Linked DNA regions of Macaca mulatta. The protein of the gene in region 2 interacts with the protein of the main gene of each other region in a pairwise test. Links are inferred from orthologs where the notes say so. Each region holds a gene or a part of one and is shown on either strand. Other genes may lie near its edges.

The links.
Region 1: the proteins of EEF1G (region 2) and KLHL18 interact in binary tests that used the Homo sapiens proteins (3 or more experiments, as listed by UniProt). The two-hybrid records come from large-scale screens. The link is inferred for Macaca mulatta from reciprocal best matches to the Homo sapiens genes EEF1G and KLHL18.
Region 3: the proteins of EEF1G (region 2) and ILF2 interact in a two-hybrid assay, tested with the Homo sapiens proteins (2 studies listed by BioGRID and IntAct). The two-hybrid records come from large-scale screens. The link is inferred for Macaca mulatta from reciprocal best matches to the Homo sapiens genes EEF1G and ILF2.

What each region holds. Positions count from the first base shown.
Region 1 is NC_133407.1:110,682,636-110,691,941, reverse strand, and holds part of KLHL18 (kelch-like protein 18), read right to left. Parts: intron 8,944-9,306; coding exon 8,706-8,943; intron 4,895-8,705; coding exon 4,775-4,894; intron 2,747-4,774; coding exon 2,635-2,746; intron 1,933-2,634; coding exon 1,546-1,932; 3' UTR 1-1,545. UniProt on the Homo sapiens protein: Substrate-specific adapter of a BCR (BTB-CUL3-RBX1) E3 ubiquitin-protein ligase complex required for mitotic progression and cytokinesis.
Region 2 is NC_133419.1:11,489,021-11,499,060, reverse strand, and holds the start of EEF1G (elongation factor 1-gamma), read right to left. Parts: upstream 5,099-10,040; 5' UTR 5,090-5,098; coding exon 5,078-5,089; intron 4,018-5,077; coding exon 3,859-4,017; intron 3,161-3,858; coding exon 3,097-3,160; intron 2,946-3,096; coding exon 2,803-2,945; intron 2,375-2,802; coding exon 2,231-2,374; intron 1-2,230. Other genes in the region: TUT1 (speckle targeted PIP5K1A-regulated poly(A) polymerase), read right to left, coding at 6,339-7,477, 7,889-7,981, 8,154-8,264, 8,423-8,532, 9,835-10,040. UniProt on the Homo sapiens protein: Probably plays a role in anchoring the complex to other cellular components.
Region 3 is NC_133406.1:113,365,524-113,375,259, reverse strand, and holds the start of ILF2 (interleukin enhancer-binding factor 2), read right to left. Parts: upstream 5,557-9,736; 5' UTR 5,469-5,556; coding exon 5,464-5,468; intron 4,770-5,463; coding exon 4,710-4,769; exon of another isoform or gene 4,678-4,709; intron 4,419-4,677; coding exon 4,376-4,418; intron 3,183-4,375; exon of another isoform or gene 3,164-3,182; coding exon 3,059-3,163; intron 2,684-3,058; coding exon 2,606-2,683; intron 2,266-2,605; coding exon 2,163-2,265; intron 23-2,162; coding exon 1-22. UniProt on the Homo sapiens protein: Chromatin-interacting protein that forms a stable heterodimer with interleukin enhancer-binding factor 3/ILF3 and plays a role in several biological processes including transcription, innate immunity or cell growth.

The DNA.
Region 1 (9,306 bases), on a different chromosome or scaffold from region 2:
TCTTTCCAAAATGTAAAGGTCATTTGCCAAGATTAGAGGAAGAAATATAAAATCTGTTCTTTGCAGCAGCAAGAGATTCTTTCGGCCTTTAGTTATGTCATAAAAGCCAGCTGTGCTTGAATGTAAAGGTCCACCTTGCTGGTCAGTCTGCCCAGGGCTGGAGGGAGGCCAGACCCTTGGGATTGGCAAGTGGATGGAGGAGCAGTGGAATGGCAGGGCAGACAAGGTTACCAGACCAAGCCAGCCCACAGCTGGTAAAAGGAAGCCCCTGGTTAGATTCTAGAGGTGCATATGGTCAACGTGCCCCAGACGCATCACAATGAGGGCAATCATCCAAGAACAAGATCGACAGGCAAGTGAGAATCTGGCCGGACCTGCTGTTTCCTGCTGGTCAAAAAAGGAAGGAATGTCAGTGAGAGTGGGGAATCTGAATGAGCGCCATGGTGGCAATAGGAGGTAATCACAGGGGCGTCTGGAGCCCCCAGCCCCAGCTAGGAGCCCCCACCAAGAAGAGTGGCAGTAATTCAGCAGATAGCTCTCTACACCTATGATTTTAAAAGTCCTCTGACAGTGGGTGTGAAGACAAACCCCATGAGCACCTTACTACAGGCCCAGTCAAGAGTGTACTGATTCCACACACACTGGGGCTCAGAGGGAACCCCCAGCTTGATGCGAGGCCTCAGGACCCTGGGATCCGAATGTGGGGTGGATACCGCCCTTCTCCAGTTAGACGGTTTTCCATTTAAACACAGATTTGCCCTTAGTGTCTTTTACGCTTTTTTCTTCCTGCAAAAGTTTGTTCACATAAAAAAAAATTATTTTTCTTTCCAGTTTCTTTCAAGTGTTTCTTTGTTTAAATTTCCTTCAGTATCTTTCAAGTATCTTTTTTTCCCTTCTGTTCTCCTGGACAGATGGAAAAGGCCTCACTGAAATCCCAAAATTAGACATGGGGAAAACTTCTCTTCTCCCTGCTTACCCAGCAATGAGGACAGAATCCTTGGTGCCCCACTGTGGAAGAAGGAACGTGCCTGTGTGCAGCCCTCCACTGCTGTGGCCACACCATCTCAGGCACGGAGGACACTTGGGTCTGTCCTTTCACCCCCAACTACATCCCAGTTTCCAGCAGGCTTGGACATTGCAGTCTCCCCATGGCAAAGTGGCCAGAACTCGGCTGGAGAACAAGCAGGCGAAGGGGAGCATCAGATGGAAGGTCTTCTGTGAACAGCGGGCCCACAGAGAGGCGGTGGGTAGGAGCTGGGCCTGGATGGAGCCTGTGTTCGTGTGGACCAGAAAACAGTTCCACGTCACCAGCTGCGGGATCCAGAGGAGCTTGTTTTCCATGCTGTGCATCTTGATGACCCAGGCCTGAAGGTCACAAGGGTGGCACAGTAGGGGAGGGCTTAAGCACCTGGAAAAACTGTACCTCCGGCGAGCTCGCATTTCGCCACCTCTTCTGGTCCACTGCCTCTCCTGAGGGACTGTTCCTGGAAGGATGCGCCTATGTCTGTACCAGATCCCTGCCCCACCACATCCCCATCCTCTGCCTTAGATGGTGAGGAGAGGGATGCAGCCCACACCGACTCCTCCCTCATGGCATGCCATGGGGGCCATGAATGTCCAGCGGTCCGTCTCTGGGTCATACATCTCCACTGAGCTTAGGTTTGACTGTCCGTCGTAGCCCCCTACAGCGTAGAGGCGCCCACAGCTGGCCACCAGGGAGACCCGGCTCCGGCGCGTGTGCATGGGGACAATCAGGCACCACTGGTCTGCCACAGAGCTGTACATCTCAGCAATGCTGAGGAAGCCAGAGCCATCGTAGCCCCCGCAGACAAACATCTTGCTCCCCAGGGAGGCGGCTCCGTGCCGGCAGCGCTTGTTGAGCATGCCAGCTGCAGGGTGCCAGGTGGCAGTGTGGTGGTTGTAGTGCTCCACCTACAGTGGGGAGAGAGGCACAGGTACAGGACAGTCAGAGACAAAGCTCAGTCCATAGAGTGACCATTGCAGGGCACAGCAGCCCCCATGATGTCAAACTCCTGTGGGAGGCATGGGGATGAGGAGCTCTGCCAGTATTCCCTCTGCTGCAGGCCTGCTCTTTGGCGTATGGGGCAGGGAGAGGTCACCTCACCTGACCCTTTCTGTCTGCATCTAAGGAAACAAAAAAAAGGATGTGCCCAAGGATGCAATGCTAGGTAGTGACAGAACCTGTATGAGAGCTGGGTCTCCTGTAATCTCCAGGGCTTTCCACTGCGGCACTGACTGACTATGGAATGACTAGTAAATGGCTGTTGAGCCTTTTTTACAGAATAAATACAATTTCAAACAAATTATCCAAAAGAATACAACTGTTTGCAAATTTACACTTGTAGATTTGCAGTGTCTATGCAGTGTCCGACAGACAGTAGAACAGGGTGGTGGCTGCAGATGTGACTACCCTACACCCTTCTTTTGCGTACACTGGCTCATTCTCTGTAAGTTCAGAATTTCAGAAGACGCAGTGGATAGCCTGAAACCTCACTAGATGATACTTTATTCAGCTATGGCAAGGCTGAAGTTTTTTCAATTAATGATCTTCCAAAATAAATCTCAAAGACAGAAGAAGTAGGTGCCCTTATCCCAGGGGGAGCCCAGACTCACACTGCTGAAGATCTGCAAACCATCGTGGCCGCCTGACACATATATCCTGCCCTCAAAGACCGTAACCCCAGCAGCACTGCGATTCGAGCTCATTGGGGTCACCACTGTCCACCTTCAGGAAAGAGTCAAAATAGGAGGGAAAGCATGAGATTCAGGGTTCTTGTCCCCCCAAGATAGCCTAGCAGGGTTCAGGTGAATTGTGCTGGCCATCTCTCTACCTCTTATCACCTCTCCCACCACCTCTCTGACAGCTCTCCCTGGCTGCCGCCTCTCACCCAAGCTGCAAACCGACAGCCCATCTTCTCTGCTCATCTCCACGGCTGCTCAAAATCATTGTGTCTCATACAAGGCCTCTTTCTCTTACAGTTCTGCTCCTCCCTGCACTCCCTGCCTCGTTAAGCAGACGACCAGCTCTCTAGCTGCTGTACTTATAAATCTCAGTGCTGTTCTGGCTGCTTCTCCCTCACCGTCGACATTCCTGTGGTCCCCCAAGTCCTGGCTGGTTTGCTTCCGAGTCAGTGCTTGTTCCCATCCCCACTGCCAGTGCCCTACCCTGACCTCTCATCTGGACCACTGCCACAGCCTCTTTACAGGCAGCCTGGATTTCACACCAGTCCCATCCAACCCCACCCAGCCAGAGGGATTGCTTCTCCTGTACCTGGACCATGTCCGTCCAGTGGCTCCTCACTGTCTCCTCTAAGACAGTCCAGGTTCCGTCATGTGGTTTTAAACTTTTTTTATTTTTGAGACAGGGTCTCACTGTCACCAAGGCTGGAGTGCAGTGGTGCAATCATAGCTCACTGCAGTTTTGACCTCCCAGAATCAAGCAATCTTCCTGCCTCAGCCTTCTCAGTAGCTGGGACTACAGGCTCACGCCACCATGCCTGGCTAATTTCTCTCTCTCTCTCTCTTTTTTTTTTTTCGTAGAGACAGGGTCTTCCTATGTTGCCTAGGCTGGTCTCGAACTCCTGGGCTCAAGTTACCTTCCTGCCTCGGCCTCCCAAAGTGTTGGGATTACAGGCGTGAGCCACTGTGCCCGGCTCTTCATGTGGTTCTTTACCTCTTGGTCCTCATCTACCCTTCAGCTTCACCCCACACCATATGCTACCCACTCTGCTCCGTCTCCCATCCACACACTGGGCTCCAGCCCATGAGAGGATCATTGCTGTTCTCGATTACAGTGAACACTTTATCGCAGCCTCGCTCCTTGTTGTCTCCCCGCCTATGATGAGCAAACACCTCCCCCTGGCTATCCATGACAGGTCTCACCTTGGAAGACATCCCTGCTACCCTGTCCCTTCCTGCAACCCTGGGGAAGATGCAGGTTCTCTCTGCTCTGTGTCCAAGAGCTTCTGACACAGGCCTCCAGGGTAGGACGATCATGATGCAACCTACGGCCCAACCACACTGGGTGCTTTAAAGGATCTCAGACACCCAGCTTGCTGTCTGATCCATAGTAGACCGGTTAAGTGAACAGAATACTGACTTAAAGGCATCCTAATAAGTCCATTCAACTAATTTGTTTATATTTTATTATATAAGATGAGAGGATTCAAACACTAAAATGAAAAACTCGGGCTAACCTTGTCAATGTTTTTCAAAGAGTGTTCCACAAATGAGTCCCACAAGACGGTGACTGGTGTGTATTAAAAACCCGAGGTTAAACAGAGTTATTCACTACAGGGTTTCTTAGAGCCTTTAAAATGTTAATATATCTTATGGAAAGACAAGGACTCTGGCAGTTCAGACATCAACATTTTCCATGCCTATCTGACCACAGAACTTAAAAACTTTTTATTTTTTTTCCAAATCATATCCTACCCACTTTGGAACATGCTGTTCATCTACTTCTTATCCCCTCTTGCCTGTATTTCCATTAAAATGGGCTGATTTAGCTAAAAGGTACAGACCATTAAATAACTATTTCCAAGCATCTATGTAGACTATTTGTTTTAAAATTTTATTTACTCATTCTTTCACTTAACCAAGGGTTATTAAATATCTGGTATATACAAAGTACTATAGGGGAAAAAGGGTAAGACATTCTCTACCCTCAAGAAGCTTAAATTTAAAAAACTGCAGTTCTGATTTTTATACTGTTTATCAGCTCCAGTTGCCCCAAGGGAGTTGGATTCCTTACTTGTCCGTCTCAGGTGAGTAGGTCTCCACGGAGCTGAGGGAAGAGTTGCCATCGTAGCCCCCACAGACGTAGATCTGCCCGTCCAGCACGACTGTCCCCATGGCACTGAAACAGACAGAGCTGTCATCCCAGATGAGCCGTAGCCTTCCTGGAGCAGCCTCTCTTGCCCACTGAGAAACAAACCTACCTACTGCCTCTTTCTGCAACCTAAATCTCAGGTATGTGACTAAGTAAAGGCAAAAAACTGAGGTGACAGAAGCTGCCCCATCATTCCTCTTGTGCCCCACCCTTCTACCGCAGGCTGCCTCCCCTCCCCGCTCTTCTCTGTCCTTAATCTTTCTAAAATGCTCACCTTCCACCTCACCATGTGAAGGTTGAATTTACCTTGAAGGCCCAACGCAACTTCCTCTTTCCTCTTCCTCCCCTTTGTAAGAATTACTCTTTCCTGCCCCTACACTCCCTGAGTGGCTTATTACAGCCGTTGTTACAATCATTCATTCATCCATCAGATCTTTATCAGCTGGGGTTGAGAGTGGTAAGCAAGCCAAAGTTCCAGCCCACAAGGCACTTATGTTCTGACATTATAGGCTACCAGGAATCTATCTGCCACTTCTGTTTGTGTGTAATTTTTAATCAAAGCCTTGATCTGTCACTCAGGCTAGAGTGCAGTGGTACCATCAGAGCTCACTGTGCCTTGAACTCCTGTGCCCAGTCGATCTTCCTGCACTTCAACCTCCCAAGTAGCTGGGATTACAGGTGTGCACCACCACACCCAGCTAATTTTTTTTTTTTTGAGACAGGGTCTTGCTATGTTGCCCAGGCTGGTCTCAAAACTTCTGTCCTCAAGTTATCCTCTTGTCTTGGCCTCCCAAAGTGCTGGGATTACAAGAGTGAGCCACCACACCCAGCCAATCTATCTGCCACCTCTTAATAAGTGAGGACCTCCTGGAAGACAGGAAGGTCCTCACTTCATCTTCATCTGTGTGACCTTCACAGTGATAAGTATGATGTCCTGTATGTAACAGGCACTGAATGTATGTTTGTTGTGTTACCTCTGCTTTTTCCCACTCAATTCACATATGTTGTTTTCATCATGTGCATGGCCTCTAATTTATCTTAGTGGTTGATGCCACAGCTCCTGTTTGCTGTGCATTTACTACATGTGTCAGGTACTCTACATTTGCTATTTTCTTTTTTCTTTTTTTTTTTTTTTGAGACGACGTCTTGCTCTATCATCAGGCTGGAGTGCAGCGGCACAATGATGGTTCACAGCAATCTTGATCTCCTGGGTTCAAGGGATTCTCCCACCTCAGACTCCCCAGTAGCTGGGACTACAGGCACATGGCACCATGCCCAGCTAATTTTCTTTTTGTATAGACGGGGGTCTCACTATGCTGCCCAGGCTGGTCATGAACTCCTGGGCTCCAGCAATCATCCTCCTGCCTTAGCCTCCCAAAGTGCTGAGATTATAGGTGTGAGCCACTGTGCATGGCCCACTTGCTATTTTCAGCCCTTAGCACACCCTGCAAGGAAGGAAAGAGCACCATAATCACTGTACAGACAGGCAGCTATAGCTTGGGGAGGCTGAGGTCTCTCCTCAAGACTGCCCAGAGAGAGGCCTGCCTCAGATTTAAATGAGACAAGCCCAACTACCCAACTCCTCACATGCCAAGTTTTTCTAATACCAAAGACCCAGGGGTCTGGTGTAATCATGTAATCTTCCACTCTACACAAAGCCTTATAAGGAATTCAGCATGAATGCCAAGCTGTATTTTCAAATGTGATGCTGGTGAAGATTAAAAATGAATCTAGGTTTCTAACAAACAGGAAAATAAAACATACCAGGCTTAATGCTACCTTTTTTTTTTTTTTTTGAGACAGAGTCTCATTCTGTCAACCAGGCTGGAATGCAGTGGCACGATCTTAGCTCACTGTAACCCTTGCCTCCCTGGTTTAAGCAGTTCTCCCTGCCTTAGCATCCCAAGTAGCTGGGATTATAGGCGCCCACCATGCCTGGCTAATTTTTATATTTTTAGTAAAGACAGCGTTTCACCACGTTGGCCAGGCTGTTCTCAAACTCCTCACCTTAGGTGATCCGCCCTCTGTGGCCTCGCAAAGTGCTGGGATTATAGGCGTGAGCCACGGTGCCTGGCTTGCTGCTACCTTTTAAATGTACATAGTAATCAAACTGATCCACAGAATGTCCCTTTCAGGGACATGATAACAGACCCCCTGGACCAGCCCAAAAGAGGAGAGGGACTTGCCTTAGGTAAGTACTGAGGGAAGATCACACATTTACTAGACATGATTACTATCCTTCTGGACACGGACACAAACATAAAAATTACATAACAAAACAGGTGTTGAACAATATGAAAATGAATTAAGAGGTGCCACAAAACTGCATGAGATTAACTATCAACTAGGTAGTAAAGGTGAGTGTGAAGAGGAGAAAATGCTGATTAGCATGGACTGGAATAGTCCAGTGTAAGAAAGCTCTATGGGATGGCATAGAACACTGGGGGAGATGGGAAGGAAAGATGGCACGATGTCACTAACTGGCAGGACAGACAGCTGTGTGGGATGTCAGGAGAGAAGTGACTAGGAACGCTTTAAGGGAGCCTATAATTTAAAAGGGATGTAATGGAACCGGGCCCACACTAATAACAGGGTATTAACCACAGTGAAGGAAAGGAATACCCAGAGGACTTTCCTCCAAGACAGCACTCTAAACCAAGTAACATCAAAGCAAGGAAGTGGTCCAGAGCATACACACAAGGAAGGACAGTTGACTGCAGTCAAAGCAAAAAAGCTACTCATGGTTGGGGACATGGAGCAATGAGTCACTCAAACACAGGAAGCTGCAAAGTATCCAAGCAGCAAAAGTGGGGATGGTGGGAGGAAAGGACTCCCAACGCATTCTTGGGAGGGGCAGATCTTACGTATTTTTTTCTTCCCAAAGGAACCTACCCCAATGTTTTGTGAACTGGTCTCACCAGTACAAAGGCAGATCCCTCCCAGCTCACATCCACATGTGAACGCTGCTGGATGTGGAACAACATTAGGCATATGTCAAGGAAGCTCAATGTGTAAAAGCGATCAATGCAGAGCTGTCCTGGGTAATGGGCAAGGGGGCCCTGGGCAGCTTTCCTCTCCCCTCCTTGGGCTGCGCCAGCCTTTCGGCTGCCCACACGTGTGACGACTCCATCATGTGTCTGACATAATGAAACATGCCACCTGTTGTCACCTCAGCCTTAAGAAGGCTAAACACAGGCACCAGGATGTCTTCTAATCCCACTTCTTATTCGGGCAATATAAGCAGAGAAGTGGAGGGAGCAGGTAGCTAGAATGTACTGAGTGACATACCAACTTGGCCCACCTTGCAAATACCTATGTTTTCCTGTCTAGGAGAATGTGTGTGACCTAAATAAAAGAACACTGCTTTGGTTCATATTCTCCCCAGGTAGTGGAAACTCATGTGTGAGGGGAGTCCTGGGGAAGGAAGGTATACAGAAAAACACCTTGGATTTCCTTTTATCACTAATAAAGGTAAATCCTCCTTATTCTTCAAGTTTCAACTTTAATCCCACCTCTTCCCTGAAATCTTCCAGAAGTTCCAGTCCAGTTTCTCTCCCTCCTTCAATCTTCCATAATACACATTTCCAGTCCTTATCTGGCACTTAAAATAACAACACAACTTCCACATGTCCACGTCTGGTCTCCCCAAGTTCCTCAAAGGACAAGGCGGGTATTTTACTTTTAAGCAGATGGGGGCTTGCTCCCAGGAGGTACCGGCAGTGGCTGGCCTGGCTGCAGGAAACTCCTAGGCCAAAGCTTGTATTTTACTTTACTGTGTGCCCCTGCTTTTCTAGCATGGCGCTCCCCAGGTGCTCAGTGTGTATGTTCGGGCTGCACGTGGCTTCCAGAATACCTTCTCTTGCTATTCATGCTCCCCACTCTGGTCCATGTGTCTGTCTCCGGGTTGTACGCCTCCACAGTGCTCAGCCGTAGCTGGCCGTCATATCCTCCAATGGCATAGAGAAGCCCGTTCACCACAGCCACGCCAACACGGCTGCGGGCTGTTGTCATGGGACGGCACCTCTCCCAGTGATTGGCGATGGGGTCGAACACTTCCACCACATTCAGGGAATCACCTGCATAAAAATTTGCTACTCAAATTAAAACAAATGAGACCACTTGTTTAGATCACAGCTATTGGGCATTGATTATACGGAACATTTGACTCAATTCTATTAGCTCTTCCCACAGAATTACTCAAGGCACAAGGGCCCACTAAGAAATTTCAGCCATGATCACCTCAAACCTAATTCTTTAAGGAAAATCAGAATCAGACAGGAGGTATTTATTTTTTAGAGAGGGCAGTTTTCAGTTACAATCAGGTACTCCACCTATTTAAAGTCAAAGGTATAGGCGAATCGATACAATATTTCCTCCAGGCAGGAGGCATGCCAGAGGGACGGGCATGCGCTCCAGTGCTTTCATTTGCTAGTGGGTGACCCAAGGCAAGGGGC
Region 2 (10,040 bases):
CTTGCTCCTTTAGAAAACTATTTCAGAGCTACTGTTTCCAATCTTTTAAATTTCACATGTCGGCCAGGCGCGGTGGCTCACACCTGTAATCCCAGCACTTTGGGAGGCCAAGGCGGGCGGATCACCTGAGGTCAGGAGTTCGAGACCAGCCTGGCCAACACGGTGAAACCCCGCCTCTACTAGAAGTACAAAAATTAGCCGGGCATGGTGGCACATGCCTGTAATCCCAGCTACTCGGGAGGCTGAGGCAGGAGAATCGCTTGAACTCGGGAGGCGGAGGTTGCAATGAGCCGAGATCGCACCATCACACTCCAGCCTGGGGGACAAGAGCGAGACCTCGTCACAAAAAAAAAAAAAAAAGGTTGAGACCCACAGAGAGGTATCAACTACTTATTTTGCCAAATAAAATCTAAACACTATAGATATTTACTATCTACATTGGCCATACTATACACACACACACACACACACCCATCAAACTTCAAAAAGTAAAGAACATTCAAACCGATTTAGAATGGACAGCCCTGGCTGGGCGCGGTGGCTCATGCCTGTAATCCCAGCAATTTGGGAGGCCAAGGCGGGTGGATCACCTCACATCCAGAGATCGAGACCAGCCTGACCAACATGGCAAAACCACAAAATTAGCTGGGTTTGGTGGTGCATGCCTGTAATCCCAGCTACTTGGGAGGCTGAGGCAGGAGAATTGCTTGAACCTGGGAGGTGGAGGTTCCAGTGAGCCAAGATCGTGTCACTGCACTCCAGCCTGGGTGACAGAGCAAGACTCTGTCAAAAAAAAAAAAAAGAATAATGGATAGTCCTTCAAATTAAAGTTAGTGTCTGGTGTATTGGCCACGGTCAAAGACAAATAAGAATAAACAGCTTCGCGTAGAACTGTTGTTATTTTTTAGTTTGCAAAGATCAGAAGAGGAAAAAAATCTTGTCATGGAAACAGAACATAGCAATCAGAGTGCTGGTTCCACAGTACTTGGGTTCAAATTCTACTCTACCACTTATTAGACTCACTAAGATGATCCCCATGAGGCCCCTGGCACAGGGTCTGGCATGCAGTAAGTGTTTTTCTCTTTGCTATGATCACATTACTATTCTGGACCAGCATGAGTCCAAGAGCTTTTATTTGGAAACCAGTGACATGTCATTCTTTTTTGACCCAATAACCTTGACAGTGATTATTACTACCCTGATTTTATAGATTGCAAAAAGTAAAAAACGGGGACTAAAGCAATTCACCCACAAATAACTCTTTACCTACACTGGTAAACAATGAAGCCAAGGCTTCAACCTGTACTTGTCTCCAAAAGAGCCTTTTTTTTTTTTTTTTTGAGATGGAGTCTCGCTCTTGTCCGCCAGGCTGGAGTGCAGTGGCTCAATCTTGGCTCACTGCTACCTCCACCTCATGGGTTCCAGTGATTCTCCTGCCTCAGCCTGCCAAGTAGCTGGGATTACAGGTGCCCACCACCACGCCTGGCTAATTTTCGTATTTTTAAGACAGGGTTTCGCCATGCTGGCCAGGATGGCCTCAAACTCCTGACCTCAAGTGATCCACCTGCCTAGGCCTCCCAAAGTGCTGGGATTATAGGTGTTAGACACAGTGCCTGGCCTGCCTCCAAAAAGATCTTAATGCTTCGCCACCATCATCACCTCTGTCTTCACAACTAAGAATAACCAATCTTCCCAAGAAATATGGCAACAAACTAAACATCTTAGCTGCCAAACAGGAACTAAAGGCAAGACATTACCCAACTTCTTAAGACAAGGGAAAGCAAGTGATGGTATTCAGTCCTGGGATTCCTGGCTGTTTTTTGTTTGTTTATTTGTTTTGAGACAAAGTCTCACTCTGTTGCCCAGACTGGAGTGCAGTGGGGCAATCTCTGCTCACTGCAACCTCCACCTCCCAGGTTCAAGTGATTCTTGTGCCTCAGCCTCCCAGGTAGCTGGAACTATAGGTGTGCGCCACCACACCCAGCTAATTTTTGTATTTTTAGTAAGGACAGGGTTTCACCATGTTAGCCAGGCTGGTCTCAAACTCCTGACCTCAGGTGATCTGCCTACCTCGGCCTCCCATTGTGTTCGGATTACAGGTGTGAGCCACTGCACCCAGCTCTAGCTGTTTTCCAAGCCCTCAGCAGAATACAGGGTAACATAGATACCTTGTCACTTTGCTTCTAATCCCCATCTACCCTCTGCCAAATAGATTCTCCATAAACTTCACCTGCTTATAGAGCCACAACAGGGTGCAGACAACTGTGATGTCAGCCAATGTCACTCGTTCGCCCACCAGAAAAGTCCTCGTCTTCAAGTGAGCATCCAGCAGCCCCAGAATTCGCCTCACTTCCTCCTTTGCATTCTCAGTGGCCTAGTGATTCAACATGATAAAACTCATCAGTGGGTACCAATCCCTTTCCCTCACCTCCCCAATTAATAGAACTAAGAAGGCTATTTCACCTAGAAGTCTGAGCTCACCCTCACCCTCTTTCAATGGAGACAGACCCTAGGATCATTCTAAATATATCATAAAGGAACTTTAGAGGTCCTCTGGTCCAGCCACCCCCTTTACCATTTGGTATAATCTCTTCACAGCAGCAATCCCTCTTGTGACCACTCATGACAGACACTTCCTCCATCAACTGCCCACTACTTCAAACTTGTACCCCAGAAAGTACGTCTTCTCATTGCCTATATATCCTTGGCACCTTTTTTTCAACCTATTTTATTTCTTACTCCCAACACCCAGGAGCTAAGGCCACCCCTGCCCCTGGCTTCTCCCAAAGTTCCAAGGCTCACCTGTTTGTTGTGGTGCATGATGCCCAAGGTGGGGAATACCCAGGTACTGGCTGGGGGCACTATGTCGGAATCAGCAAAGCTCACCCACTGCACCACCTGGGCTGCTGCCTCTGGAGTACTTCCCCGCAGCTCCTCATTGCTCACTGCAGAGGCAGAACACAAAGGTCAGAACTCTGGGGGAATGCCAACACCAGTCCAGGTCCTGAAGAATTCCTTCATATCCATCCCCGCTCACACCCTCTTGTACACCCTCACCTCCAAATTCTCCCATTCCCATATACCCCTGCAAATTACCATAGTAGGCAATGGCGTTGCTCTCAAACACACAGAATCCATCGTCACCCTCAAATGCTGGAACCTGGGGACAAAGCAGTGAAAAGATAAGGTAAAACACACAAAATTTCTCCCTACCCAATACCAGAAGCCAAACTGCTTTGGATAAAAATACTTATGTAAGACTGACGATCCTCACTATCCAAACTCTCCATACTATCTGATACTCAAGAACCATAAATAAATACTTCAAGAGCTGGGCATCCTTTGCAATCTGAATTCACAATGTTAACTAGGAAGCACAATAGATTTGAATATTACAAGATATTTGTATGAAATCTCTGGATCAAACAAGCAGAAGACCAAAAGTAACTCCTGTATCAATGTATCAGTGCAAGTATTAGTGTGTGACCCAGATCCACATAGTACTTCATCTCCTCCATTCTTAGCATGTTTTTTCACCTATCTCTGTAAACCCCTTGGGGTAAGAATCCTGCCCATAACAGACAATCTGATACATTTGCACTGAAAATGCTTAGTCAAAACTCATTCTCTTTCCCACAAAGTAAACTCGTGAATGTATAAAGTCACAGAATAGCTCTGTACTTTTTTTTTTTTTACAACTACATGTGAATCTGCATTTATCTCAAAATAAAATCACTGAAATATTGAAGAAAATAACATGGGAAGCTCTCTTTTAGAGATGGGGGCCATCTCCAGAATGATAGAATCCCAGGCCTTCGTTTCTCAGAACCGAAGGACACTCCCCATCTCCCAACTCACCTTGCCGGCAGGAAATTTGCGGAGAAATTCAGGGGTGCGGTTGGTTTGGCCAAAATGGAAGTGGGGTGGTGCGGAGAGCACGCGGACCTGAGCCCCGCTGTATTGTGCAGCGATGAGAGCCTTGAAGGCCCTCCAGTTTTCAGGATACGTATACAGGGTCTATGAAAGAAAGAGAGGAACAAAATTAATAAGAGCATTAGGGTCCCAGTCCTAAATGCCACTCCCCAGGATGACTTGCCTGAATAATCCCAATGTGTTCAACTCACCCTTTTACTTCCTCTGGTGAACCAAGTCCTTTAACACTTGTCATATGTAATCAGAATCCTCCGAAATACCAAGAACAGAACTACACACCAACTGCTAAATAAAGCTTGTTGACAGATTTGACCTTCCCTAAGGACACCTCTAGAAGCATTCTCTTTCCCTCAAATCTATCTCCCAAGAAATCCAGAACTTCTAGCTCCATCAGACTCCATCTGCCTACAAACATACTCCCTTCCCTTCACGGAGCCCTCGTTTCATTCATTGATGGTTCCGAGCGCCTGCCTACTCTACTGCTCAGCTGCTCTAAGGAACGCACAACGATCGAGAGATTTCTAGTTCCTCTCAGAGTGGCCAGAGATAGGGGATGGCATGCCGTCTTCTTAAATCAACTCCTCTCCCTCAAAAGCCTTTCTTTCCGTGTCGCGCATACCATCCCTCCGGTCCTGTCCCGCAGCAAGTTCCCCAGCGTTGCCTTCTCTATTAAGCTGGCCAGCGGACTCCAATTGGTCTGACTTCACTGTCCGGAGAATCCTCTCGCTCCCAAACCTCCCTGACAGACTACCTTTAACCGTGCCAGCCGGACCTGCCTACAAAGACCCGCTCTTCACCCTGTCCCCGCTGTTACTCCACAAAACGGTCACAGAAGTTCGTCAACCTACCCAGATACTACGCCTCAAGGCGGCAATAGAGCCGAACCCCTTTTTCAGGCTTCGGACGGCCCAGATTCGGCATCCCTTTTCTCCTCTTCCCCAGACCCTTCCACCTCTGGCCTCCGAGAGCCCCAGCCTCAGTTCCCCTCCAGGCCGTAGGAACCCTGCTCTCCAGCAGTACGGTCTGTAGACCCAGAATCAGTTCCCCATTCAGCCTCAGAACTCCTCTGGCGCCGACTGGCCCCACTCGGGCAAAGGATGGCGGTGGATAGGATGACCCGAACCACCAGCGCCGGCAAACTTACCCCAGCCGCCATGGTGATTCCGCAAAGAAAGGGGGTGGGGTTCTCCCCGCTGCCGCAAAGTAAGCCGCCCAGGAGAGAAAGGAGGGGGAAAGGGGAGAGCCGTGGAGAAACAGCAGCCGGAAAGCGAGGACGACACAGAAGACATACGTACGACAGTTCGGTATCCAGTGGCGCCGAATTGGAAAAAGAACGGAGTGGGTGGGGCCTGCTGGCCAGCGCGGAAAAAGCTCGCGCCTGCGCATTGGAGATCTTGACTGGCCCGCCCCTCAGGTGCAGCGGACCAATTGGAGTCTAGACGTGGAGGTAGACAGCGTGGAGGGCGGGGAAGCTGTGAGAACCCGCTGGAAAAGCCGCCGGTTCTCGGCTACGTGGCGCCGCTGCTGGCCTGGCGCCGTCAGGCTGCTGGGGGCGTCCCCCTCTGGCCCACCCAGGGACGAGTGACTCGATGGTAGGTTCTGCCAAGCCCCTCACATGATTCTGTGAAACTCATGGGAGCGAGGAACGACTGCTGCGCGGAGGTGGCAGTGTGTGTGCTATATCCTTTAGTTCCTGCTCTGCTTTTCCTCCAGAAAGGGATGAGTGTCTAACAGGGGCCCCGGTCTGAACCCGCCTGCCAAAGTGACGTTTGCTCACATCTAACCCCTTACAGCTCCAGGGTGCTGTTACTGCGAGCAAGGACACCGGCCCTCCGGCCCGAAGCAGGGCAGGGACACGAGGGAGAACGCGCCCTGTCCCTCCCGCCTCCTCCGGACTCGGCCCCTGGAGGGGCTGACGCTGGAAGACCCGACATCGTCGCTTCTGATATTCATGGCTTTTGACTCATGTTCAGGTTTGAAATCTCTTACCCAGTTTAAGAACGGGATGAACTCTCCTCGTTTAAAGGAGAGAATGAAGAACCCTGAACGCAAATCTCCATCTTTGTCCCCATTAATCTGAGGCGGCAGGAAGAATGTGGAGGCAAACCTGGCTCTTCTCAGTACTGTTCCAGCCACCCACCGCTCTGCCATTCAGGAACTCTGCGCGGGTGCCAGGTGCCACGCACGGTGCTGCCCCCGCACTCCCCGCAAGCTGTGCGAACTGTAGGAAGGAGAGGCTGCTGGGGTGGAGAGCAGTAGGGAGAGACCCATGTTCGGGGTCAGAGGAGAGCAGCTTCATGAAGTTCTGGGGGAGGCGAAGCATTATGACCAGATGGAAATGAAAGGAAACGGGAGACTCTGTATTAATAAACTAGCAGCTTTATTGCCCTTTAGGGGCCATGTCTTCACTTCAGATGTTTAAGTGCTTGAGGGAGGAAAACCTGTAAGAAATGATGGAGATCAGGGAACAGGCCTTGGCGATCCTGGAGCGGGGTCACAGTGAGCATTCGGTCAGCCAGGGAGACAGACGCCACAAAGCTCAGCAGGGGCTCAGTTTCTGGCCTCTCTTCGCCACCACTCAGTCCTCTCAGCTCCTGGGTGACCTGAGCCTCAGTTGCCAGCCACCCTGCTCCTGTGCCAGCACCACCTCCGGCTCCTGCCTTGGTTTGCTGCTGCAAGCGTCTACGGGCTCGCCGCCGTCCCTGCCACACTCGGTGCCACAAGGCACAGCGCCAGCTCACTGAGGAGGGCAGAGATGCCCCCTGCCCTGCCTCACCCTGGGACCCTTCTTGGGCTGCCTCATGTCCCTTGGGCCCCCGCTCTGCCAGGGCTGCATAGCTGGGCTGCCCCTCTTCTCCAGGGGCTCCATGCTTTCCAGTCATCAGGGGCAGCTCCCCTGGCTGCCCAGGGCCCTGCATGGCCCAGTCCTGCACCATCTCTCCAACCTCTATAACCATCTCTTCTACCCCGTCCCCTGCACATCCCTGCTGCTCCTCTCTCCCCTCCTCATGGCTCTTTTTCTGTCCATCTAGTTTCAGTCTTTTGCTTGTCCCTCCCTGAGCAGACTCCCCAGTTCCACCTCCTTCTGACCGCGGTCTCTTGGTTCCCTGTTCTATATGGCACCCCAGTGCTTCCCTGAATACCTGCACCAGGGCAGCAGTGAGCTGGGTGAAGGGTGCAAGGGGTAAAGGGATCGGAGTAGCAGAGAGTAGGGAGCTGGGGGAGCTGGGCTGCAGAAGAGGGAGCAGCCCCCAGTCCCGACCCCGGGAGGAACGGCGCTGGTACTGGAGGCTTCGGCAGTAATTGGCTGCCGCTCGGCAGCAGTTCTGTAGGCGCCCAGCCACCCGGCTGGTCACATTGGCTGCGACATTGTGACTCAGGTCAAAAGGGTCCTGGAGATTCATGGGGCCAAGGCGCAGACCCTCCCAGAGATTAGAGGGCAGGCCCCCTGTCACAGGCAGTGCCTGACCCTCCCGCAGGGACAGCAGTGAGCCACGAAGATCCCAGCAAGATACACAGGAGAAGAACTGGGCTAGCAGGGAACCTGGAGGAGGAGGAAGAGTGGGGAAAGGGAGTCATTTAGAGGCCAGAACTGACACAGGTCCTGCACCACAGCCATTTCCTTAGCAGGACTTTCTTTTCCCCTTCCAAGGGGCTCAGCAGAGTCCCAGGAAGATAGGCTTCTCTGATGCCTATAAACAAGAGGTCAGACCTCTCTCCCTGCCCCCACATGATTTCCCTGCCCAGATGCTGCTGCTCCCTGCTAGCCAGTGTAACCTTGGGCAAGTCACTTAATTGCTCCCAAACATGGTTTCTTCATCTGTAAAACGGCAGTAATAATATTAGGTATCTCACAGGTTTTCTGTGAGAACCATGCCTGGCACACAGTGTGATATATGTTACCTACTGTTGATGAACATCATTACTAGTCCTCTACCTGGCTCCCCAAACTCACTGAGGGGCTCCACATTTGTGCTGCGCTCCAGTCTTGAGGCATCCCTGGGGAAACTGCAGTCCCAGCCATCGACTTCCACCTGCTCCCCCTCTCCTGTGAAAGTAAAAAAGTTGAGAGTCAGTCTGGAAGCAGGGAGATTGAGGGTTGGGGTAGAAATGGGGGTGATAGCAGAGATCTCATTCCCAGAGTTGCTTTGGTGTATCTAAGTGTGATGAAGAAGAGAGGAAGCTAACAAGATGGAGAGGGTGGAAGCTAGGCTGAGTACCTGCTTTCTGGGTGAGCTGGGATACAGTGGGCAACACAGGAGGGTCCCTGGTCTGAAGAAAATATATCACCAGCAAGGTCAGGGCGTAGTTACTGAGAAGAGGGCCACTCCCTGGGTAAATAAGCAGTAATTCCAGTTAGATCAGAGGTGCTTCGAATCCCCCCACTGGCAGTTTTCTCAACCTCAGTGCCCATTCTGACCTCCCTTCTCTCCCTGAATCCCTGCCTTTGTCCTGACTCAGCCCCAAGTCTGTCCTGATTCATTCTCACCTGAAAGCCCCCGACCCTGAGCCCAGCAGCGGAGGGTGTACACGAGGGGCCGGACTCGACCATCTAGCTCAGAGACGAGACTCAGGAAACGGGAGTTATGCAGGGCCAGCCTGGGATGAAGCAGGGACAAGGTTGTTAGGGCTTGGGGACATCAGAACCTACCACCCCCAGCTTTCATTCCAGACTTGCATAACTGGGGCCAGCTGGAATAAGGCCAAAACAGTTTCCCCAAAGGTTGTTCAAACACTGATCTTGTGAGACAGTGTGCAAAAAGACAAAGGAGTTCGGGAAACACTTCATCCTGTACGCCCATCCTGGACATTCACAGCACATTATTCTTTTTTTTTTTTTTTTTTTTTTTGAGACGGAGTCTCGCTTTGTCGCCCAGGCTGGAGTGCAGTGGCCGGATCTCAGCTCACTGCAAGCTCCGCCTCCCGGGTTTACGCCATTCTCCTGCCTCAGCCTCCCGAGTAGCTGGGACTACAGGCGCCCGCCACCTCGCCCGGCTAGTTTTTTGTATTTTTAGTAGAGACGGGGTTTCACCATATTAGCCAGGATGGTCTCGATCTCCTGACCTCGTGATCCGCCCGTCTCGGCCTCCCAAAGTGCTGGGATTACAGGCTTGAGCCACCGCGCCCGGCCTATTATTCTTAACACTGCTTTTGAGCCATGGTCACACCACTGCACTCCAGCCTGGGTGACAGAGCAACATCCCATCTCAAAAAAAAAAAAAAAAAAAAAAAAAGACTGCCAAGAGCCTTTACTATGCAAAGAAACAAAGACAGGAAGGGAGAGAAGAAGGAAGGAACGGAGAAAGAGAAGGCAAGGCAAGGGGAGAAGGGAGGAAATGGAGAAAACTTTTTGCATCTAATTTTGACTTTCCCAAATTTATTCAACCGCAGAACTCTTTTCTACATCCCTTGAAAGTAATATTCTAAGGAACACACTTTACAAACACTGAAAGGGAAGCCAGGCAGGAGGAGACAAGGGACAGAAAGAGGGATAGTCCCAAACAAGGACAAACTTGAGACTTGGCAGGTGCAGGAGTTTCCCAAGCCAGACTCCCTCCTGGCGCACCCCAGAATTCTCAGCCGGCCTGCCCCAAAGAAAAGTATGGTGCCTCACGCCTGTAATGCCAGCACTCTGGGAGGCCGAGGCAGGCGGATCACCTGAGGTTGGGAGTTCGAGACCAGCCTAACCAACGTGGAGGAACCCCGTCTCTACTAAAAATACAAAATTAGCCGGGCATGGTGGCGCATGCCTGTAATTCCAGCTACTTGGGAGGCTGAGGCAGGAGAATCACTTGAACCCGGGAGGCGGAGGTTGCAGTGAGCCAAGATGGTGCCATTGCACTCCAGCCTGGGCAACAAGAGCAAAATGTTGTCTCAAAAAAAAGAAAAAAAGAAAGATACCGGTTACTGAGGGAGATGTCACCGTGGAGACCTGAAGGCCGATGACAGAACTTGACCACAGGGCGCCGGGCGGAGGGCACAGTTTGGACTCGATACACCCCAGGGACACAGCCCCGGAGAATGGATCCCACCAGCTCCAGCATTGCTGCCCCTTCTGCTTTCTCCCGCTTTGGGGCCTCTGCTAGTTCCAGGGCCTTCCCCAGGTC
Region 3 (9,736 bases), on a different chromosome or scaffold from region 2:
CCCAGGGCAGCAACAGCTTCCACTAATTGACAGAAAAGGACATAATGTTGTAATAATTTATTTATCTAGACTTTCTATATATCTCTAAGCTACTTTGCACTCTCATTTCTGTCCCATATCCAAGGCTGAAGCAAGGGTAAATAATAGAATAAATACTTTTATAAGAGGAAGCCAAGGCCTGGACAGAAAAATTGTAAGACTCAGGCAACAGGACCCCTCCTGTACTCATATCCTCTTTCTACAGCAAGGTTTTTTAGGTCAGTGGCACTAAAAACATTTTGGGCTAGATAAATCTTTGGGGTGATGGGGATGTAGGATGTTTTAACAGCATCCATGGCCTCTATCCTTTTTCTTTTTTTGAGAAAGGGTGTCACTCTGTCACCCAGGCTGCAGTGCAGTGGCACAATCACAGCTCACTGCAGCCTCAGTCTCCCGGGCTCAAGCAATCCTCTCACCTCAGGATGCCGCTTTTTTTTCTTTGTTTTTTTTGAGACAGGGCCTCACTCTTGTCACCCGAGCTGAAGTGCACTGGCACTATCTCTGCTAACTCCAACCTCTGCCTCCCAGGTTCAAGCAACTCTCCTGCCTCAGCCTCCCAAGTAGCAGGGATTACAGACGCCCACCATCACGCCTGGCTAATTTTTATATTTTTGGTAGAGACGGGGTTTTGCCATGTTGGCCAGGCTGGTCTTGAACTCCAGGCCTCGGCCTCCCAAAGTGTTGGGATTACAGGCATGAGCCACTGCACCCGGCCCCACCTCAGGCTTCTGAGTAGCTGGGACCAAAGCATGCACGGCCATGCCCAGCTAATTTTTTTCTTTTTGCAGCTACAGGGTCTCTCTATGTTACACAGGCTGGTCAAACTCCTGGGGTCAAGTGATCCTCTTGCCTCAGCCTCCCAAAGTGCTGGGAATACAGCCACCACACCTGGCTTCCACCGTTTTTTGATGCCAGTAGCACCCCCTTGTTTTAACAATCAATAGTACCTCCAGATACTGCCAGATATCCCCTGGGTGGCAAAATTACCTCCAGTTGAGAAACATGGCTCTACAGTAACCTGCTATACATTCTTTCAGACACACACACTTCAGCGTTTGTCCCTTATCACTCATTAAAAAACATTTGTCAGGCAGGGTGCAGTAGCTCACGCCTGTAATCCCAGCACTTTGGGAGGCCAAGGCAGGCGGATTACCTGAGGTCAGAAGTTTGAGACCAGACTGGCCAACATGGTGAAACCCCGTCTCTACTACAAATAGAAAAATTAGCCGGGAGTGGTGGCACATGCTTGTAATCCCAGCTACTCGGAAGGCCAAGGCAGAACAGCTAGAACCCAGGAGGGGAGGTTGCGGTGAACCAAGATCACGCCATTGCACTCCAGCCAGGGCAACAGAGAGAGATCCGTCTCAAAAACAAAAACAAAAACTAAAAACATTTGTCTTACAAACATCCTTTCGTGAGGCCAGGCGCGGTGGCTCAAGCCTGTAATCCCAGCACTTTGGGAGGCTGAGACGGGCGGATCACGAGGTCAGGAGATCGAGACCATCCTGGCTAACACGGTGAAACCCCATCTCTACTAAAAAAATACGAAAACTAGCCGGGCGAGGTGGCGGATGCCTGTAGTCCCAGCTACTCAGGAGGCTGAGGCAGGAGAATGGCGTGAACCCGGGAGGCGGAGCTTGTAGTGAGCTGAGATCTGGCCACTGCACTCCAGCCTGGGCGACAGAGCGAGACTCCGTCTCAAAAAATAAATAAATAAATAAACATCCTTTCGCACAAGAAATTTGAGCTTTCAAGATCCCTAAGGGCTGGGCACGGTGGCTCACGCCTGCAATCCCAGCACTTTGGGAGGCTGAGGTGGGCAGATTGCTTGAGCTCAGGAGTTTGAGACCAGTCCGGGCAATATGGTGAAACCCTGTACCTACAAAAAATTAAAAAATTAGCTGGGTGTGGTGGCACACATCTGTAGTCCCAGCTACTCGGGAGGCTAAGGCAGGAAGATCACTTGCTGTAGTGGAGGTCAAGGCTGCAGTGAGCCACAATGGCACCACTGCACTCCAGCCTGGCCAACAGAGTGAGAATCTGTCTCAAAACAAAAAAAGATCCCTAAGCCCCTAATCCAAGTGCTATGTTCTGTTCCCATGACCAGAAACAGGCACACTCACATGTTGGCAGGATCTTAAGTATCACCACCAGGTCAGCCACATTGTGTCCTGTAGTCATTGTCCCCTTTTTATAGGATCCCACCTGTCGAACTTCTTCAATTTGCTATTGGAAAAAGGATTTCGGGGGAAAAACAATTTAGAAGAAAAAAAGGTGCCTAAGTCCTCCCAGAACTGTTACAACATAGCCACCTGTTACCCAAATTAGGAAGTAAGAGGTGAAATCACCCCAGAACCACCACATGAAAGCCTGATACATCACAGATAGCATAACAGTGATACAAGTCTTGTCCCCAAGATCAGTACTACAAAGAAATCCCACTGTATGTTCTCATTTTAAGCTTGGCTTTGGATAATAGACAACTGAAAATTAAAAGTCAGGAGCCAAGGAAATTTCGACACTACCAAAGGTGCCCTTTCCTAAAACTAAATCATCAAAAACTCACCACTTCAAATGTCCCTGGAGCCACAATCAGATTATCAATCACATTGTTTATTTTTGTCACCAGAGAAAGGATAGATGCCTGAAAAACAGCATGAAACAATACTCGAAGATGAAAAATTAGAAGCAAATTCTCAGAGTTTGAGTATTTTCTCCTAATCCCTTCCATACGAGCTGACTCAATACTGACCTAGGACTTTAAAAACACTTCATTCTGGCCTTGAATATATGGAAAGAGAACAACTCTTTATCCCCAATAAAAATAAGAATGCATATGTAATTTGTTTATATATCCACCTGGCTGTCTCCACCCACAATGAGAAATAAGGAGAACAATTAAACCCTCTGTGGATTTCAGGCTCTGTTAACACCATTCTTAACCTTACCAACAGTTACTCTTTACCAATACTTTTACCTGCTTTAGAGACATTTCTGGAAGACAGCCAAAAGAACATACCTGTTCAGCAGAATTAGGAGCCAGGTCCTGATTCCTCTTCAGCAAGGCCTCACTGAAGGAGGTTTCATCAGGTGCTGGCTTGACCCGGGGGAAGGCCATTTCACACTAAACCAGAAGTAAACAACTACATTCCATTTGCCGAAAATAATATACAGGAGAGATTGTTTTTTCTATTACTACGACAGAAAAAGGTTAAAAATAGAAAATTCTACACTTGTTTTTACTCCTTAATTTGTTCAATTAGCTGGGCATGGTGGCTCACGCCTGTAATCCCAGCTGAGGTGGGAGAATCCCTTGAACACAGGAAGCGAGGCTGCAGTGAGCCAAGATCGTGCCACTGCACTCCAGCCTGGGCAACACAGTAAGACCCTGCCTCAAAAAAAAAAAAAAATTTTGTTCAAAGGCCAGGCATGGTGGGTCACGCCTGTAATCCCGGCACCTTGGGAGGCCGAGGTGGGCAGATCGCTTGAGGTCAGGAGTTCAAGATCAGCCTGGGCAACATGGTGAAACCCCGTCTCTACTAGATACCCAAAAAATAGCTGGGCATGGCGCCTATAATACCAACTACTTGGGAGGCTGAGGCAGGAGAACTGTTTGAACCTGGGAGGCAGAGGTCCTGATTCCTCTGCCTCCCGGGTTCAGTGCAGTGAGCCAAGATTGCACCACTGCACTCCAGCCTGGGTGACGGAGTGAGACTCTGTCTCAAAAAAAAAAAGAAAAAATGTTCAAACAAGGATACAAGCTGGAATAGCCATAATTTAAGCTATCACTATCTTTATAGTAACAAATTAGCCGTAGATACGATTACTTGTTCAGAACAAAGATTATAATCATGTTTAATGCCAACAGTAGTCAAGGAATTATTCTCCCCACCATGCTTACACTGTTTCTGTAGGTAAAGCAACACACAGTTGACTCAAAACCCCAAGTCTTTTCAAAAATCACTTTCCCCCTCACTTCAATCACCATTTTTTTTTTTTTTTTGGTAGTGGTGCCATCTCAGTTCACGCAACCTCCGCCTCCCGGGTTCAAGCGATTCTCCTGCTTCAGCCTCCCAAGTAGCTGGGATTACAGGCACACGCCCAAGCAACTTTTTTATTTTTACTAGAGATGGGGTTTCACCATATTGGCCAGGATGGTCTCAAACTCCTGACATCAGGTGATCCATCCGCCTCGGCCTCCCAAAGTGCTGAGATTACAGGTGTGAGGCACTGTGCCTGCCCTCTTCAACCACTATCTAACTTCATTAACTGGGAGATACTAGGCTCCATTTCAAGAATGGCCAGAAATTGTGTATTATTAACCCAAGGTACTCACCAAATAGAAGTCAAATGGGATATGTGGTACAAAGGGCCTGAACCTAAAACATGAAAAACAGCCAAATTATTCCCTATGTAGGAATCAAGTGAGATTTAAATAACACACCAACAATTTTGAAAACATGTCAGACCTCAGAATGAGTGACAAAGTCTCTGGGGAGGGAGAGAATCATTCTTAGCATAGTGGGGCCAAATTCATTTAGCAGGAGTGCGGAAAAGACCACAGTTGGCTCTCACAAAACCAAGTGACATTAGTCTATTCCAAAACTCCTATTTAGATGACAAGCAGAAACTAACAACTAAGTGCAGAGATGCTAAAAGCTGGCACTCACCCTCCTCCTGGGCCTCCTCTGGAACCAAAGCGCCCACCACGACCACGGCCTCTGTCACCCCTAGAAATGCAGATTTTATTTTGATCTCATTGAAGGAATACCCACCGGCCATATCATTTTAAGTTGGCTACTTTCATCCCTCGGAACCTCCCAACGGTAGGCAAGAGACCCCACTCACACACTCCTCCCCATTCCAAATGGTGCCCAGTTACACCCCCATAACCTCCTCATTCTGGATAAGTTAATCACAACCCCCCATCAAGTAATGATGGGGCTCAGACAGTGAGCCCTACACGAAATAACCCATAATCCTGGGCCACACGAATCCTAATACTTCGGAAGCTAAAGATTGCTCATTTCTTCATTAACGTACACATTTATCGGGCATGTCCTATATGTCAAGCCCTTCGCACTGAGGATGAATGCGGCTCGCTCCAGCATTCTCAGCCCGGATGACGGGGGCGGAGGGAAGGTGGGGAGCTCCTCCGGGGACTTGAGGACACCTCCTCATCGCAACCCTTCAGAGAGAGGTGTCGAACCCGCCTCCCCACTCCTGGGCCCCAACCCCATCCCGGGCCCGTTTCCCCGCCTCTACCGGCCTCACTCTCTCCCACTCTCTTAGACCAGGAGTTCTCAGGTTTTTGGCCAGCTCCCGGATACATGGTCCTTTTAGGTACTCCGACTTCTTTCGACCCACGTTCCCAAAGTTTTCCGTCGAATACCTGAAACCTTTCGACCACTTCGACCCCCTTACCTCATGGCGCCTTAAAACACGAACAATGGAGGCCGCACCAACCGCCCCTTTCCTCTGAGGAGCAGACAACTGAAGAGGAGTCTTGCCGGCGTGTCCCAATAAAACCCGGCGTGATTGGCTCCCGCCTTACCCCATCGCTTATGCCTATTGGCTTACTTTGTCAAACCGGGCTTATGAACCAATAAAAAACGCCTACTGTGTCAGGAACTAGCCAATAAGAACTGGTTCTATAGTAATGACGAATTTTTGATCAGACATTAGGTGGCACTGAAGAAGTCAGGACAACGACTACGTGGTCTTCTATAACAGTTATGAGAACGTTGGCCTTCAGATAGCAGAGTGGCGCAGCGGAAGCGTGCTGGGCCCATAACCCAGAGGTCGATGGATCGAAACCATCCTCTGCTATCGGAATTTTTTCATTGCCCTGTACCGTACACGTAATTTACATTACATTCAGTGAATGAAAATACCTTGCCGATTTTCCTACCCCAAAAACGCAAGCAGTATCAGCCATTTTTGCCACTAGCAGTTGAAGTTGATGGGGAAAAGGGAGTTTAGGCAACCATGAACACTACACGTCTACAAACTCGAAGCAGGAGAAACAGGTTTCAGATAGGAGGAGTATATTGATTGAATTAATGTGGAAAACAGGTGTTCCACCCGCCTCAGCCTCCCAAAGTGCTGGGATTACCGGCCTGAGCCACCGCGCCCGGCTTGGTTACATAAATTCTTTAGTGGTGATTTGTGAGATTTTGGTGCACTCATCACCCGAGCAGTATACACTGAATCCAACTTGTAGACTTTTATCCCTCATCTACCTCCCTTCCATACGTACTTTTTTGATATTTAATTTACTACAGCAGAACGTAAACATCTTAAGTCTAAACGTATTCTGTCCACATAACCACCATCCAGATTTAAATAAATGTTATTAATTTAAAAAAAAAAAAAAAAAAAAAGGGCCGGGTGCGGTGGCTTGTGCTGGCGGGCACTTGTAATTCCAGTTACTCAGGAGGCTGAGGCAGGAGAATCTTGAATCCAGGAGGCGGAGGTTGCAGTGAGTTGAGATGGCGCCACTGCACTCCAGCCTGGGTGATAGAGGGAGACTCCGTCTTAAAAAAAAAAAAAAAAAAAAAAAAAAAAAAAAAAAATCTTGCTTGAGGTTTGTTGAGCTTCTTGAATCAATGGCTTGAGGTTTGTCATCCATTTATATAATTTATTAGCTATTATATCTTCCAGTATTAGTTTTACCTATTATTTCCCTCCTTCCTGAACTCCAAAGACGTATTAGACTTTTCCCCCAGTAATCTCTTTGTCTCTTACCCTCTCTTCTATTATTTTATTTGTACACAGGGTCTCACTCTGTTGCCCAGGCTGGAGAGCAGTGGTACACCATCATAGCTCACTGCAGCCTCGACCCCCTGGGCTCAACAGACTCTCCCATTTCGGCCTCCCCAGTAGTTGGGACTACTCAGAGGCACAGGCCACAACACTCTGAGCTAATTTTTTTTTTTTTTTTTTTTTTGGAGATGGAGTCTCCCTCTGTCTCCCAGGCTGGAGTGCAGTGGCGCCATCTCAGCTCACTGCAACCTCCGCCTCCCCGGTTCAAGCGATTCTCCTGCCTCAACCTCCTGAGTAGCTGGGACTATAGGTACATGCCACCATGCCCGGCTAATTTTTATAGTTTTAGTAGACATGGGGTTTCACCATGCTGGCCAGACTGGTCTTGAACTCCTGACCTCAGGTGATCCTCCTGCCTCTGTCTCCAAAGTGCTGGGATTACAGGCATAAGCCACCTCCCTTGCCCCCGGGCTTATTTATGTATGTATGTATGTATGTATTTATTTATTTAGAGATGGGGTACTTTATATGCTGTCAAAGCTAGTCTTTTTTGTTTGTTTTTGTTTGTTTGTTGAGACGGAGTTTCGCTCTTGTTGCCCAGGCTCGAGTGCAATGTGTGATCTCAGCTCACAACCTCTGCCTCCTGGGTTCAAGTGATTCTCCTGCCTCAGCCTCCCGAGTAGCTGGGATTACAGGCATGCACCACCATTATCCATGCCTGGATAATTTTGTATTTTTAGTAGAGACAGGGTTTCTCCATGTTGGTCAGGCTGATTTCGAACTCCCAACCTCAGGTGATCCGCCCGCCTCGGATTCCCAAAGTGCTGGGATTACAGGCATGAGCCACTGCAAAGGGCTTTTACCCTCTCTTTTTATGTTTTTCATTCCTTTTTACCCATTCTTCATTTTAGGTAGTTTCTGCTGTCCTTTCTTCCAATTCATTACTTGCTCCTCAGTTAAGTCTAACATAGTATTAAATCTATCAATTGGTTCTTAATTTTGGTCTTTTAATGTTTTGGGTCTGGATTATTATTATTTTTGAGACAGGGTCTCACTCCTGTTGCCCAGGCTGGAGTTCAGTGGCATAAACACGGCTCACTGAAGCCTCAACCTCTTGGGCTCAAGTGATCCTCCTGTGTCAACCTCCAGAGTAGCTTGGACTACAGGCATATGTCTCCACACCCAACTAATTTTTTTAATTTTTGGTAGAGATAAGGTCTCACTATGTTGCGTAAGCTGGTCTCCAACTCCTGGGCTCAACTGATCCTCACCTCAGCCTCCCAAAGTGCTGGGATTACAGATGTGAGCCACCAAGCAGGACCTTAGATTTTCTATTTATTCTACTCCCAGGTTGCCCCTAGGAGTGCAGCCTTTTGAGATCCTAGCCCAAAACATGAAGGTGGTTTACCAAGATTATCACCTTTGGGGACATTTGGATTCCTTTTTTTTTTTTTTGAGAGTGTGTTTCCCTCTATTGCCCAGGCTGGAGTGCAGTGGTGTAATCTCGGCTTACTGCAACCTCTGCCTCCTGGGTTCAAGTGATTCTCCTGCTTCAGCCTCCCAAGAAGCTGGGCTTACAGGCGCGTGCCACCACTCCTGGCTAATGTTTGTATTTTTAGTAGAGATGGGGTCTCACCATCTTGTACAGGCTGGACTTGAACTCCTGACCTCATGATCCATACACCTCGGCCTCCCAAAGTGCTGGGGTTACAGGCATGAGCCACCGTGCCTGGCCCTTTTTTTTTTTAATTTTAAAAAATTGAGATGGGGTCTCACCCTGTTGCCCAGGCTGGTCTGAAATTCCTAAGCTCAAGCCATCCTCCTACTTTGGCCTCCTAAAGTGCTAGGATTACAGGTGTGAGCCACCAAACCTGGCCTGGACTTCACCAGCCCCACACAGCGTATTTTCTGCCACTAATTCCAAATTAGCAAATGACCCCAAGGTAAAATCAGCCCTACTACTGGGCTTACTTCTCTACTTTCCTGTACTTTTGTGCTCTCACACCAATAATTTCTGACTATCTTATTTTTTTAAATTATTATTATTTTTTGAGATGAAGTTTTGCTCAAAATAGAGTGAAATGGTACGATCTCAGCTCACTGCAACCTCCACCCCCTGAGTTCAAGCAATTCTGCCTCAGTCTCCCAAGTAGCTGGGATTACAGACATCCGCCACTACGCCTGACTAATTTTTGTATTTTTAGTAGAGACGGGGTTTTGCCACGTTGGCCAGGCTGGTTTTGAACTCCTGACTTCAGATGATCTAACTGCTTCGGCCTCCCAACGTGCTAGGATTACAGGCGTGAGCCACTGCGCCTGGCCTCACTATCTTATTAGTTCTTTTATTAATTATTAATTATTTATTTATTTATTATTTATTTATTGTTTTTTGAGACAGGGTCTTGCTCTGTTGCCCAGGCTGGAGTGCAGTGGTGCAATCTCGGCTCACTGCAACCTCTGCCTCCCAGGTTCAAATGATTCTTGTGCCTCAGCCTCCCGAGTAGTTGGGATTACAGGTGTGCACCACCAAGCCCGGCTAATTTTTTGAGACAGAGTTTCACTCTTGTTGCCCAGGCTGGAGTGCAATGGCACGATCTCGGCTAACTGCAACCTCCACCCCTGGGTTCAAGCAATTCTGCCTCAGCCTCCCGAGTAGCTGGGATTACAGGCATCTGTCACCACGCCGGCTAATTTTTGTATTTTTAGTAGAGATGGGGTATCACCATGTTGGCCAGGCTGATCTTGAACTTCTGATTTTAGGTGATCCACCTGCCTCAGCCTCCCAATGTGCCAGGATTACAGGCGTGAGCCACTGTGCCTCACCTTACTATCTTATTAGTTCTTTTATTTTTATTTTTATTTATTTATTGTTTTTTGAGATAGGGTCTTGCTCTGTTGCCCAGGCTGGAGTGCAGTGGCACGATCTCGGCTC